Linked DNA regions of Coturnix japonica. The protein of the gene in region 1 purifies or fractionates together with the protein of each later gene. This does not show direct contact. Links are inferred from orthologs where the notes say so. Each region holds a gene or a part of one and is shown on either strand. Other genes may lie near its edges.

Evidence for each region. Proteins that work in one complex are often made in the same cells at the same time.
Region 2: the proteins of ASB6 (region 1) and COPS5 purify together in Homo sapiens (affinity purification with mass spectrometry; 3 studies listed by BioGRID and IntAct, with this or other methods). This does not show direct contact. The link is inferred for Coturnix japonica from reciprocal best matches to the Homo sapiens genes ASB6 and COPS5.

The regions. Positions count from the first base shown.
Region 1 is NC_029532.1:4,260,832-4,267,275, forward strand, and holds the start of ASB6 (ankyrin repeat and SOCS box protein 6), read right to left. Parts: upstream 4,096-6,444; 5' UTR 3,984-4,095; intron 3,899-3,983; 5' UTR 3,806-3,898; coding exon 3,693-3,805; intron 3,554-3,692; exon of another isoform or gene 3,504-3,553; coding exon 3,322-3,503; intron 2,964-3,321; coding exon 2,857-2,963; intron 2,442-2,856; coding exon 2,333-2,441; intron 1,891-2,332; coding exon 1,792-1,890; intron 1,455-1,791; coding exon 688-1,454; 3' UTR 1-687. UniProt on the Homo sapiens protein: Probable substrate-recognition component of a SCF-like ECS (Elongin-Cullin-SOCS-box protein) E3 ubiquitin-protein ligase complex which mediates the ubiquitination and subsequent proteasomal degradation of target proteins.
Region 2 is NC_029517.1:104,431,116-104,437,023, forward strand, and holds part of COPS5 (COP9 signalosome complex subunit 5), read right to left. Parts: intron 5,132-5,908; coding exon 5,003-5,131; intron 3,829-5,002; coding exon 3,763-3,828; intron 2,409-3,762; coding exon 2,323-2,408; intron 1-2,322. UniProt on the Homo sapiens protein: Probable protease subunit of the COP9 signalosome complex (CSN), a complex involved in various cellular and developmental processes.

The DNA.
Region 1 (6,444 bases):
GAGATAACTGCCCATTCCTCAGCCTTGCACAAGGACAGACCAAGGAACAGCCACTGGTCTGCTTGCTTTGGAGTCCAGCATTGCTGAGGCACCCTTTGTAGACAGTGCTCTGTGCTGAGTGGATTCAGTCAGGCTGCTGTTGCTAAACCTGCTTCCCCTCATCCCCTCCATGTTCCTGGTTTTGGAATCCCAGGTGAGTGAGGAAGGCACCCACATCCAGGCAGAGATACAGGACTGTGGCTGCTTCCACTGACTGAACACGAGGGCACAGATGCCAACATTCCTCTTCACGTTGCTGCTCTGCTGCTGGGACAGCCAACATCTCTCAGCATCCTGAGGCATCTCACCGGGCTGCCACTCACTCATGGCACTGCTTCACCCACCCTGCAGCCAGAGCAGAGACCTGTACAGTCACAGCATCCTCCTCCCCCCTTTTCTTACAAATCTTTTTCACCTTGCAAAGGTGGATCCACCTTTTAAACCACCACCTTTGTGCAGTGTCCAACTCCGCACTGCCCATGAGCCCTCCCAGGCTCTGCTCACCTCCCTGCAATATATTTTAAAGCCACGAGACCTCCACAGACGAGCATGCAGCAGTGTGCACAATAAAAGACACCCCTGAAAAATCAGCAGAGACACCACAGGCAGAATTGGTCGAGTCATTGGCACAGGGACAAGCAGTACCTCTCACTGCAGAGATAACGGGTGCAGAGCAGTGATTTGCTGACTGTCTGGAGGCACTGCGACCACAGAATGAGGAGATGGAGAGTCATCGGTCAGGCTGAGGTCCTCATGCCCAACAGCAGTGTGGTCAATGAGGAGGTACCACTTCAGCCTGTCTGGAAGAGGTAGAGCCTTGATTTTTACATCTATTGGCCAAGGCCTAAGGCACTGGCGGATGGACACCCTGCAGAGATGTTTCAGTGCCTGTGGGGTGTGCTCCAGCTGCTTCACGGAGCAGAACAGAGTCCTGATCTTTTCCTCGTGGTACCTGCAGCTGTTAACGTCGACCTTAAAGTCACTGGGCAGCTGGATGGTTTGTGAACTGGCCATCATGAGCTCCAGCAGAGTCTGACCCATTTGGATGACCTCTGTAGAGATGCTGCTGTCTTTGAGGATACTGACGTGAGAGCAGAGGCAGTCAAAAACAGTTTGGAAGCCTGACCAGCATGAGGGACCATGGAGGGAACAGTTGTAGGCAGCACCTGACTCCAGCAGGAAACGCAGCAGTGGGAAGTGGCACGTGAAGTTCTGGAGGCAGCGGTAGGTGAAGGACTCGAGGGATGGGCACTCACTGGGGTTGGCACCGTGGGCCATGAGCAGCTGCATGACACGAATGCAGAAACGATTCTGTACCTCGGCCTCTGTGCTGGCCAAGACTATGTCACCCAGTAGGAAGATGATGTAGGTGAAGACAGTGTCTCCATCTTCAGTGGTAGCCCTGGCATCTGCACCTGGAGGAAGGAACAGAAGATAAATGGAGCTGCAAAGAAAGGCAGGACACAATCAGGATGGATTCAGGAGAGGGGGTGTGGATCCTTTAGTACCACCAGGAGGTATGAAACACTGTACTTAAATGCAGCATGCACCTGCACAACCCAGCATGGAGCTGACAGCAAGAGGGCTGACAAACAGTGCTTCTCCCTAGTGGAAAAGTACTTCCAATCCGAGCACCCTGAACAGAGCGCTCTTCTGGACTTTACTCTTACTCGGATGGGAACATAAAGGAGTTGGGAGGGCAGCACCTGGCCTAGAGGGGCTCTGAGTGGAGAAGGGAGCTGTTGTCCTCACCTCCTTCCAGCAGCAGACGGATGCTCTCTGTGTTGTGGATCTGGACGACATCACTGCTGCAATAACAGTGCAACAAGGCGTGCAACAATGCCGTCTTTCCTGCAGTAGGAAAAGACGAATCAGATGAGACAGTGCTCCACCTGGAAACGCTCAGCCCACCAGAACTAAGGAGAAGAATCCATCCCACCAGCCCAATGGCTAAACATGAGGGAAACAGCCCTTCTGCTAGCAGGCTCCCAACATCACTGTGATGGAGCACAGCTGTGGTGGCCCCATAGGGCACATGGGCCATGGCAGAGTGGTTTTCAGAGCACAAACCCCCCCCCCTTCACCCAATTCCATCCTCCATGGGCTGTACAGAGCTGCTTTTAGCCTCCTGCTGCATCTAATGCAGACAAGATACTAGGAGACAGCACAGAGCACCAGGGAGGTTCTACAGCCTGCATTAATTTCCGAAGCAGGCAGAATTAGCAGCAGCAAAGTGAAGGGACACAGATCCCATGCCCTGCTCCAGCCCACCTGCTGGAAGCACCCCACAAACCGGTTTTGTCAGCTGCGTTGACGTCAGCCCCAAGCTGAAGCAGTCTCTGGAGGCATGGCAGCCGCTCAGGCTCCTCGCTGGCCAGATCAAGGGGACTGCTCTCATGGATCTGTACAGGGCGAGAGGAGAATCCACAAGTATTAAGGACTATTTATGAGTACTGCTGGAGAATCACTGATGGCTTCATCATGGCCAACAAGAGAGCATAGAATTCATCCTGTCCCCAAAAACAAGAATGACAGCCCCCTCCCCAGAGTCACTATGTTTAAAGGGAGAGGGTGATATACCCCAGCTTCCTCCCATCACATGCTCCACAGCAGAAAGCAGCTCTGCTTGGCCAAAGGCGGCCTCAGCTTTTGCCATAGCACTGGAGCAGCACAGGCAGCAGCTTGGGAGGCCACTGATGGAAGGCAGTATGCAGCAAGCCCTGGAAGGGGCAGCAGAGAGGGCTGACCCCACACAATGGCCCTGTGCAGCCCCAAGGAAGCTGGAGCATGTTCATGTCCAAGCAGTCAGTTCCATACCCGGTCTCTGCGGTTGATGTCAGCCCCGTGACGCGCCAGGAGCTCCACCATGTCAGGCTGGTTGCGAAGCACTGCAATGTGCAGCGGGGTGTAGTAGGTAACTGGGTCTGAGGACACAAAACACATCAGGGTGGGCACTGAGAATAGCTGTCTATAGAAGCAATCGTTACAGATGCCCCAGGTCCTGTATCTGCAGTGGCTTTGCCTCTGACAAAACCCCCCAAAGATGCCAGCTGGCTCCCATTCTCTGGCCATCCCCCAGTCTGCTCTTATAGAGATATAATAAGAGTATAGACAAGGCACATCTAATCAAATCCAGAGTGGGAGCCTGAAGCCAGAGTTAGCAGCACCCCTCCCTTTCTGTCCCAGTTATCTCTGCCTTGCAGGGCCAGCTTCTCACCAACCAGACCCTCCCAGCCAACCCAAGCAGCAGAGTCAAGCACAGCACCCACCCCACAGCCATACCTTCAAAGCTGAGGTCTGCACCAAACTCCAGCAGTACTTCTGCAGCCTGGACGAGCCCCAGCTCAGTGACCTTCAGCAGGGTATAACTCACACCTTCCTGGTAGAATGGGGAGTGGGCTTCCCTCTGCAAGACTTGTCTCATTGCTGAGAGCTGGCCTCCATTGCTCCCCAGGCAGGTGTGGCTGGATGTGAATGAAAACAACCAGTTACTCACCTGGGCAGTATGTGTTTCCTATGGGTCAAAGCAGGGAGGGGAAAAAGCTTTAGTTTCTCCTATTGCCTTGTAAACTGTTGGCTTATACAGCAGTACCCTTACCCTTATATAAGCAGCCCCTTACCCCCATAGCTCCGCTTACAGCCCAATCAATTACCTTTCCATCTCATCCTTCCCTCCATCGTCCCGCAGTGTCAGCAGCGCCAGGATCTCATCCACCATGGGCTGGTACTCCAGGGTGATCCTACGGAAGCCGTGCAGGAATGGCATCCCCCCGCAGGGCCCTCCGGCATGGCACAGCCTCGGGCCTACACACAGCAACCCGCTAGGCCCAGCCAGGCCTGTTCTCCACACAGCCACCCCCTGCAAGTAAAGACGGATTGCGGGTAGTTTTACATTCAAAACTACATCGCCTCCCTCGCTCCCACCGCCCCCCAAAGCAAAGAACCTCGAGGTGGTTCCGATAGACCTCACCAGGCCGGAACCGGAGCCCGAGAGACGCAGCGCAACCCAGCACCGCACGGCACCGCCGCCGGAAGTGGAAATAGCCGCTGCCTCCGAGGTGGGCGGGGTTTGATTGAGGGCGTGGTCTATAAAGGGGGCGTGGCCTAATGCGCGCTCTGCCGCCAGGGGGCAGCGGGGGAATGGGAGAGGGACGGGAGCGCGCACAGCAGGTGCCGCCCTATACAGCCCCATCCAGGGGGCACCCAAAGGTGCAGCTGCCCCCATTGATCCCACTGTGCCTCCAGTACTGCACCCATAAGGGCTGTGGTGCCCCATACTGCACGCCATAGGCTGGTGGTGCCCCATACTGCCCACCCATAGGGTGTGGTGCCACATTACTGCCACCCATAGGCTGTGGGTGCCCCACATTGCAGCCATAGGATCGTGGGTGCCCCATTGCAGCCATAGGCTGTGGGTGCCCCATATTGCAGCCATTAGGGCTTTGGGTGCCCAGACTGCACCCAAGGGCTGTGGGTTGCCCCATACTGCACCCATAGGGCTGTGGGTGCCCCTACATTTGCAGCCATAGGGCTGTGGCAGGTGCTTAATGTGTACCCAGATTGCAGCCATAGGGCTGTGGGATGCCCCATATGCAGCCCATTAGGTTTGGGTGCCCCATAGATGCCCCATAGATGCTGTGTGCCCCATATCTGCAGCCTAGGGCTGTGGGTGCCCCATATTGCAGCGCATAGGCTGTGGGTGCCCCATATTGCAGCATTAGGGCTGTGGTGCCCTATATTGCCAGCCCATTTAGAGGCTGTGGGCACCCATATATTGCACCCATAGGGCTGTGGGTGCCCCATATTGCAGCCATAGGGCTGTGGGTGCCCCACACTGCAGCCATAGGGCTGTGGGTGCCTCATACTGCAGCCATAGGGCTGTGGGTGCCCCATATTGCAGCCATAGGGCTGTGGGTGCCCCATACTGCACCCATAGGGCTGTGGGTGCCCCATACTGCAGCCATAGGGCTGTGGGTGCCCCATACTGCAGCCATAGGGCTGTGGGTGCCCCACACTGCACCCATATGGCTGTGGGTGCCCCATATTGCACCCATAGGGCTGTGGGTGCCCCATACTGCAGCCATAGGGCTGTGGGTGCCCCATAGTGCAGCCATAGGGCTGTGGGTGCTCCATACTGCACCCATAGGGCTGTGGGTGCCCCATATTGCAGCCATAGGGCTTTGGGTGCCCCATATTGCACCCATAGGGCTGTGGGTGCCCCATAGTGCAGCCATAGGTCTGTGGGTGCTCCATACTGCACCCATAGGGCTGTGGGTGCCCCATATTGCAGCCATAGGGCTTTGGGTGCCCCATACTGCACCCATAGGGCTTTGGGTGCCCCATACTGCACCCATTGGCTGCCAGCTCCCTGGGATGTGGGTTTAGGGGCTGTCAGGGCCATGCACATCCCCATGGTGTTTCTCCCACCCCCAAACCCTCCGTGTTCCCCAGACCTGGCACTGTCACCATCCCCAGCCATGTGGCACCAGGGGGCACCGGGCAGGTCCAGCCCCAGGCACTGTTATGGGAGAAGTTATTTAGATGGCAATGCTGTGAGTGTCCCTGTCGTGTCCCTAATGTGGCCCTATTGCACCCCTGCCATGTCCCCATCACGTTCCTGCTGTGGCTTTTCTATGTCCCTGCAATGATGTCCCTGTAGTGCACCCACCATGCCCCTGCAGTGTCTCCATCACGTCCCATCCATGTCCCTGCTGTGTCCCCATTGTGTGCCCACCACATCCCATTCCTGTCCCTACCACATCCCTGCTGCGTCCCCACCTCATCTTCACCACATCCCATTTGGATCCCCGTTGTGTCCTCCCTTGCATCCCCACCACGTCCCCGCGGTGCCCTCCCCCCCTTTACATGTCACAACCCCCCACATGTTGCCCCCCTCACCCCTATTCCCGTACCCACAGCCCGGTTCCCCATCACTGTGTTGGTGCCCAGCCTCACACCGGGATGGCTGTGCCATTGCTGGCAGCGCCCGGCGGGGCGGCGGGGAGGAATGTGAGCTGCCATCCATCAGGGAGACAGAGCAGCAGCGAGCCGAAGAAAGAGGGGCATTTTAGGAGGAAAGCCAGGGAAATTTGATCATTAAGAAATCCTCCTGGCTGTCTGGGGGAATTTAATTAAATTGCTGGAAAGGGCTGTAAGCACATCTGGATCCAATATGTGCAGCTTTGATTTTTTTTTTTTTGCTTTCTTTCTTTTCTTTTCTTTTTTTTTTGTAGTTCACTCTTTTCCCATCTCGCTGCTGAAGGGTTGTGGGGGTTTGGGGGGGGGGGGAATAAAAGGGAAATAGCAGAGCCACGGAGTATTGGTTCATCTGGGACTGGGATTGCTGGCAGGGAAAGAAAGAGAGAAGGAAGGAGAGAAAGAAGGAGATGGAAAGTGGGGAATTAA
Region 2 (5,908 bases), on another chromosome or scaffold:
TAGGAGGAACTGGGATTGTTTAGTCTGGAGAAGAGGTGGCTCAGGGGAGACCTTACTGCTCCCTACAACTACCTGAAGGGAAGATGTGGTGAGGTGGAGGTTGGCCTCCTTTCCCATCTAACTAGTGACAGGACTAGAGGGAATGGCCTCAAGTTGTGTCAGGGGAGATTCAGGCTGGACGTTAGGAAATACTTCCTCTCCAAGAGAGTGATCAGGCACTGGAATGGGCTGATCAGGGAGGCTATGGATCCACTGACCCTGGAGGTGTTCAAGAAGTGTTAAGGTGTTGTACTGAGGGACATGGTTTAGTGCAACTATCGGTGATAGGATGGTTGGACTAGATGACCTTGGAAGTCTTTTCCAACCTTGGTGATTCTATGGCTCTTCAATACTGTAATTTTTTAATAGCAGATCACTAATTTTGTGATCTAATTCAATTAGGAACATTTGATAGCAGTAAATGTTACTAACGGACAAATAATTTTGTCATACCATACTTGTTTTTAAAGTCAAACTTTGCTGGTACTACGCAATTCATAAGATCTGACTACGTAGACAGAAAGCTGAGCTCTGTGTAGATGAATTACAGCAACATTCAAGTTATGCTAGATTTTATTTTGATCACTAAACTCTTCAGAAAGCTACCAATAAACATATCATTGCTTAATTTCTATGCAAAGTTACTGTTACTATGAAACAACTAGTAGTGACTAGACTATCAAATAGAGAGGACCATCATTCAAATTGGCTACATTTTAAATCTGTAGTGCAACTACCCATACTACTGAGAGGAAGCCATCATTCTAATCATTTGCAATCAGTAGTTCAGTAATGTGCCAAAATTCCAGTTTAAATTCCATCTTTTTCCCTAACTGCTGTTTCTTCCCTAGGGAAGACTGGAAAATATTTTCTTTGGATGGCAAGAAATAGCTTGTACGATAAGCCAGCTTCCTGAGATGAAGGTTATGATGGTAAATATTAAGCACTGCCAACTTAAAGAAGGAAAAAAAGCAACAAAAAACCAACAGTAAATCCCACAGCAAAACCCCCAAATAAGCAAATGAACTCTCCCAAACTGACCACTTCAAATAAAGATAAAACACACCTTCCACTCATACGTTAATATATACCAACGTTTATGGGCAGTGTCCATACAAGCACTATTCTGAAGCGACAGATTCATTACTAAAAAGATTTCTGTGTAGCCACTGCTCTGGAATTTTCTCAGTTTGGATAGGAAAATCAATTCTCAATTGTAATAATTTCTTGATATCTTGAGAGTCCAACTCCGCATGCAGCTATAAATGCACTACAAATAGATATCCATGCACCAAAACCATGGAAAAAAAAACAGGCAACGGCCTACATCACATCCATGAACCTACACGGTGTCAGTGAGATCTCAGAAGTTTTCTGTACACAGTTCCTTAAACTGCAGGGCTCGTCAAACACTTGAAGGTGGAATCAAAACCAGCATGGAAGGAGCAATCCCATCTTTCTCTTGCTGATCCCTGGAGGCATTCAAGGTGAGGCTGGATGGGGCCTCGAGCAGCCTGAGCTAGTGGGTGGCAACTCTGCCTGTGGGTGTTGGAACTGGATGGTCTTTAACATCCCTTCCAACCCAAGCTACTCTATGAATCTTCCCAAATACTGCATCTCCATCATCTGCCTCTACCTTAGCTTAACCAGCAAGAACATATGTACTGCTGCAAATTGGATCAGATCAGGGGACTGACCTGGCAAAACAAATGCTTTTCCATGTAAGTACATGTATGTATGAAGCGAGGAACAAGTGACAGGGTGCTAGGAGAATGGTTAAAATTAAACTGCCTTTAAAATACATGGAAATGTATTCTCTCCATCAGGAGAGAAAAAGCAGTAATTCTTCCTGTTGCTGATATTATCGTTTGAAGCAGCTCCACTTCACCAAGGAAAGAAACAATATGATTGAAAACCTGCAGCCACATTAACGGTGACACAGTATAAAGGTATGCACCACAGTTGCTGTTACTGAGAAGAGCAGCCCTGCTGCTAAATCTGCATCTGACTTTGTACTCCTTGCCCAAAGAAAGCACTATTCCTTATAAGTTAAACAACTGCTAGCTCTTTCAACCAGGTTAAAAGAAACCTCATCTTTAAAACTGTTCCCCCGTAGAAGATCTTCTGAAAAAGGACATGCTTTTCCACAAAATCAACAGTACTAATGCAACAAATAATGCCATGATTTGAAACACACCAAGAAATGCAGTTTTTGGTGAATCATTAGACTAAATACAAAAACTGAGAACTCATGCTGCAGTCAGTAATTTTTATGTTACTTACTGTTTACAATGAACACCAAAGTCTTCTATTTTATTAAGTGGAATAGTTTGGTATTCAGAAGGACCTTCATCCGGAGGTTTGTACCCCTACAATTAAACAAAGAAAGGGCAAAGATGACACAGTACATCTGGGACTGTTAAGGAATGAATAAGCTCTTGAAAAGCATTTCACAAAAATTGTGATTTATGCAAAGAAAACACTTCTGTAAAGAAGATGACATTTCCCCCACTAGCCTGAAATTTGGAATTTTCTTGCATCTCAGGTTTACATTTCGCTTTACTATAAGTCTTTATGTTTGCAGGTCTGTCAAAAAGTGTTAGAAGCGAACAGGGTGCCAAGTTAGGATTGGATCTTTTAATAGATCAAAGTAGTAAAGAGCTTCTAATGCAAGATTTCTTTTCCTATTCTGAGAAGTGATTTTGGTCCTTTTTGGAGGGAAGACAGAAGGTAAGTGAAGTGGGAAGAATCATGTTTGCCCTGCATATGCCCTAGAGAGACATAAAACTTAAGCTACTTATTTGTCTAAAGTGCTGCCCCTCACAGCTATTGACTAGGCAAGATCTGCTTGCAAAATGATCCAAGGACTCCCTTCAAATACCCATCCAATGTGCATTTTCTACACAGGATTTGGTTTCCAGGTGCAGGATTCTTCTCCCTGCTCAAAATATGGCATTTATGAAATGCTTTTGCCAACACAGCTGAATATTCTTCTGAAACACAAATTGTTCAAGGTTGAGCTTGTGCATATTTTTCAGCTCTAAAATAATGTTGAATGTAAACTGGAATGCCCCATAAACATTCTTGCTGATTACAGTTTTACTGAATGACAGATGAATGTTCTTGATAAGTCAATGATAACTGGGAATCAAACTTCCAATTATACTTAAACTGTATTAGATGGAAATAAAAGAGCACAACTGTATGTGTCAGAAGTAGAACCATAAGACTGCATGTGGAGGTCCAGATCTTCAATATTGTGGTGAATCCTTAGTTTTTAGCCTAACCCTTCCATGTTAATTCACCTCTTTTTATGGTTGTTGGGTTGTTTTTTTTTTGAATATTCATAGTGTTTACCTGAAAGAGGTAATTACAGAGTGTTTCAAATGCTCCAATGAAAAGCAGGTTACAACATATGAGAGAAAATCTTACTAGTATGTTAGGTCTAAAAAAATGTTAGAAAAAAATTAAGATAAATACATTAATGAATGACAGGAAAGCTCCCTCCTCTAGAGAGTCTATTTAAGACTGACAAAAATCTATTAAAAACATCCTAGAAGTCAACTTCTCTAAATGTAATCAATATTCACACAATAACAAGTACGGCATCAAGTCATTATGAATGCACAGTGATACAGCGAAGCAGATGCACTAATGTTTAGCACCGATCAATTACTCAAAGAGAGGTTATTGATTACACTACACATAATTTTAAGCTTTTACCTTAGGATATGTCCTAAATGCACCGAGATTTACTTTTCCTGCAGATATTGTTCTTGTTGGATCAATCTGTAAAAAATACAGGTAATGCTTCTTATGTAACATTGAATGAACTATTACAATTAATAGTGATCATAGTTCAGGAACTAATTAGTGCAAATTCTATTTGTTTAGTCATAAACAGTATTTTTTCAGTTGACATCCATTGGCATGTGACTCTATCAATTAAAGATCAATAGCTTTCTAGGGACCATTTTGCAAATCCATTTCATCCCTTTCCCAAATACTTAAAAAGAAATTGCACTTAGAGCAAGCAATGAGCCAGAATAAAAATCTACATTTTAATCTTTCAACACAGCACAGTCCTACTAAAGCTAAGAAAGATATTGTGACCTGCTGTACTTTGGTGGAATAGAGAGAAGAATTGCAGAGGAATCTCCTTGAGAATAAACTTACTGATGTTCTGCCTCATTTTAAAAGAAAGAAAAGAGAAAGGAATAAATGAAAACAGAAAGAAGTCCTAAAGGGAATGTTCTGAATCCATTTAATTGTCATAACATGGGGAAACTCATACAGTAGAAATACTTCTAGGGTGATTTGTCCTTGTCTAATGGAATGCTAACACTACCCATATTCCTTCTTTCTGACTAATTTCAGTCTTTTATCATTTGTTTCCTTCAGCAGCAGTAGTTGCACAAGCTGTACTTAAAGTAAGGTTTCTTTGGATTTAAAATGTGATCTGCAGCTTGAAATGGCCCAAACAATTTCTTCAGATCTTTTCTTCAAAGACTTTCTAGAATCTTCTACCTTAGACCATGTCACTCATTTCAATTAAACAGCACTTCAGGTTCAAAGCAACAGAACTGTGTGAACATAATCTACTCATTCCTTCAGAACAAGCAACAAAAAGAACAAAACCAGATTTCTGCTACACTGCAAGAGGCTGAATATGGATTGTTAATGCATTTTTTGCACAAGTACCAACTTCAAACTAAGAGCAGCATATAGATTTGTACAGCACAGCATCCTCTGGAGCAATGAAGCAAAAATGGTCTCAATGAACAAGACTACCAGTTTGACCAGCACATAACTAGAAATGCAAAAGGAGCGATAATAATTTAAGATTTAGATCTACCACTTCCATCCTGCAAAATACACGTTACTAGGCCATAACATGGACAAAAATCTAGAAGTTATTTCCCTCTCAACACAATTTGCTACGCAGCCATCACACAGTACTTACCACCACTGCTACAAAGGGTTCTTGAAATTGCTGATTAAGCATCTGAGTACTGACATCGATCCCAGAGAGCCAGCAGCCGTAGCCAGGGTGACTGTGGTACCAGCCAATTGCATTTTCTAGACGACCAACCTAACAGCAGTGAAGGAAAACAAATCCAGTGATGATCCTCATTCGTAAAGCATGGGCTGCCCTCTACTGAGCCTTCCAGCACACTACAACGCAGCAAGAGGATAAAAAGAATATACACAGCCTGTATGCTAACTTGAAATATTCAACATGCACTTTATTTTGCTTAACTATAAAAGAAGTTCCCAAATAATACTCCGGGATATCTCAGCAAGTACCCCAAACAAACAAACAAAACCAATCAAAATTGATTGTTAATCACGGTGAATAAACAGCCAGCGCACCTAGTTTATTGTAACTGGCCAAGAACTGTGTACTGGCTGATCAATATTGAGTGAAAGGATTTATGTACATCCTACATGGCAGTGTGTTCAATGCATTCAGCTGCTTGGTTTTGCCAAATACTGAGCATACCAGGAAGGTTAAATCTGGAAACTATTAAGAGGGACAGAACACACGATCTACCCAACTGAACATTTGAGTCGTTGAAACAAATAACATTTTTCTTTTAACTATTTTATCATCAGATCCTGCCTATGGAGGAGCAAGTAATTGCAACATTAGCTTCTGTAGAGCACTTATGCAGAGTGCTCTTATTATCAACATGTAATCTAACATTAAAAAGAGTTACTCCAGGACAAAGTGCTTTCCAACCTCAGATGTGAAGCAGCCAGGACGCACTGTCAGAGCTCCAGTAAAGCTGAGTTATTGTTTTTGCTTTATTTTCGTATCATGAATTCTCCCATATAAACCTGGGCTGTTCTAAAAGTCAAATGAACT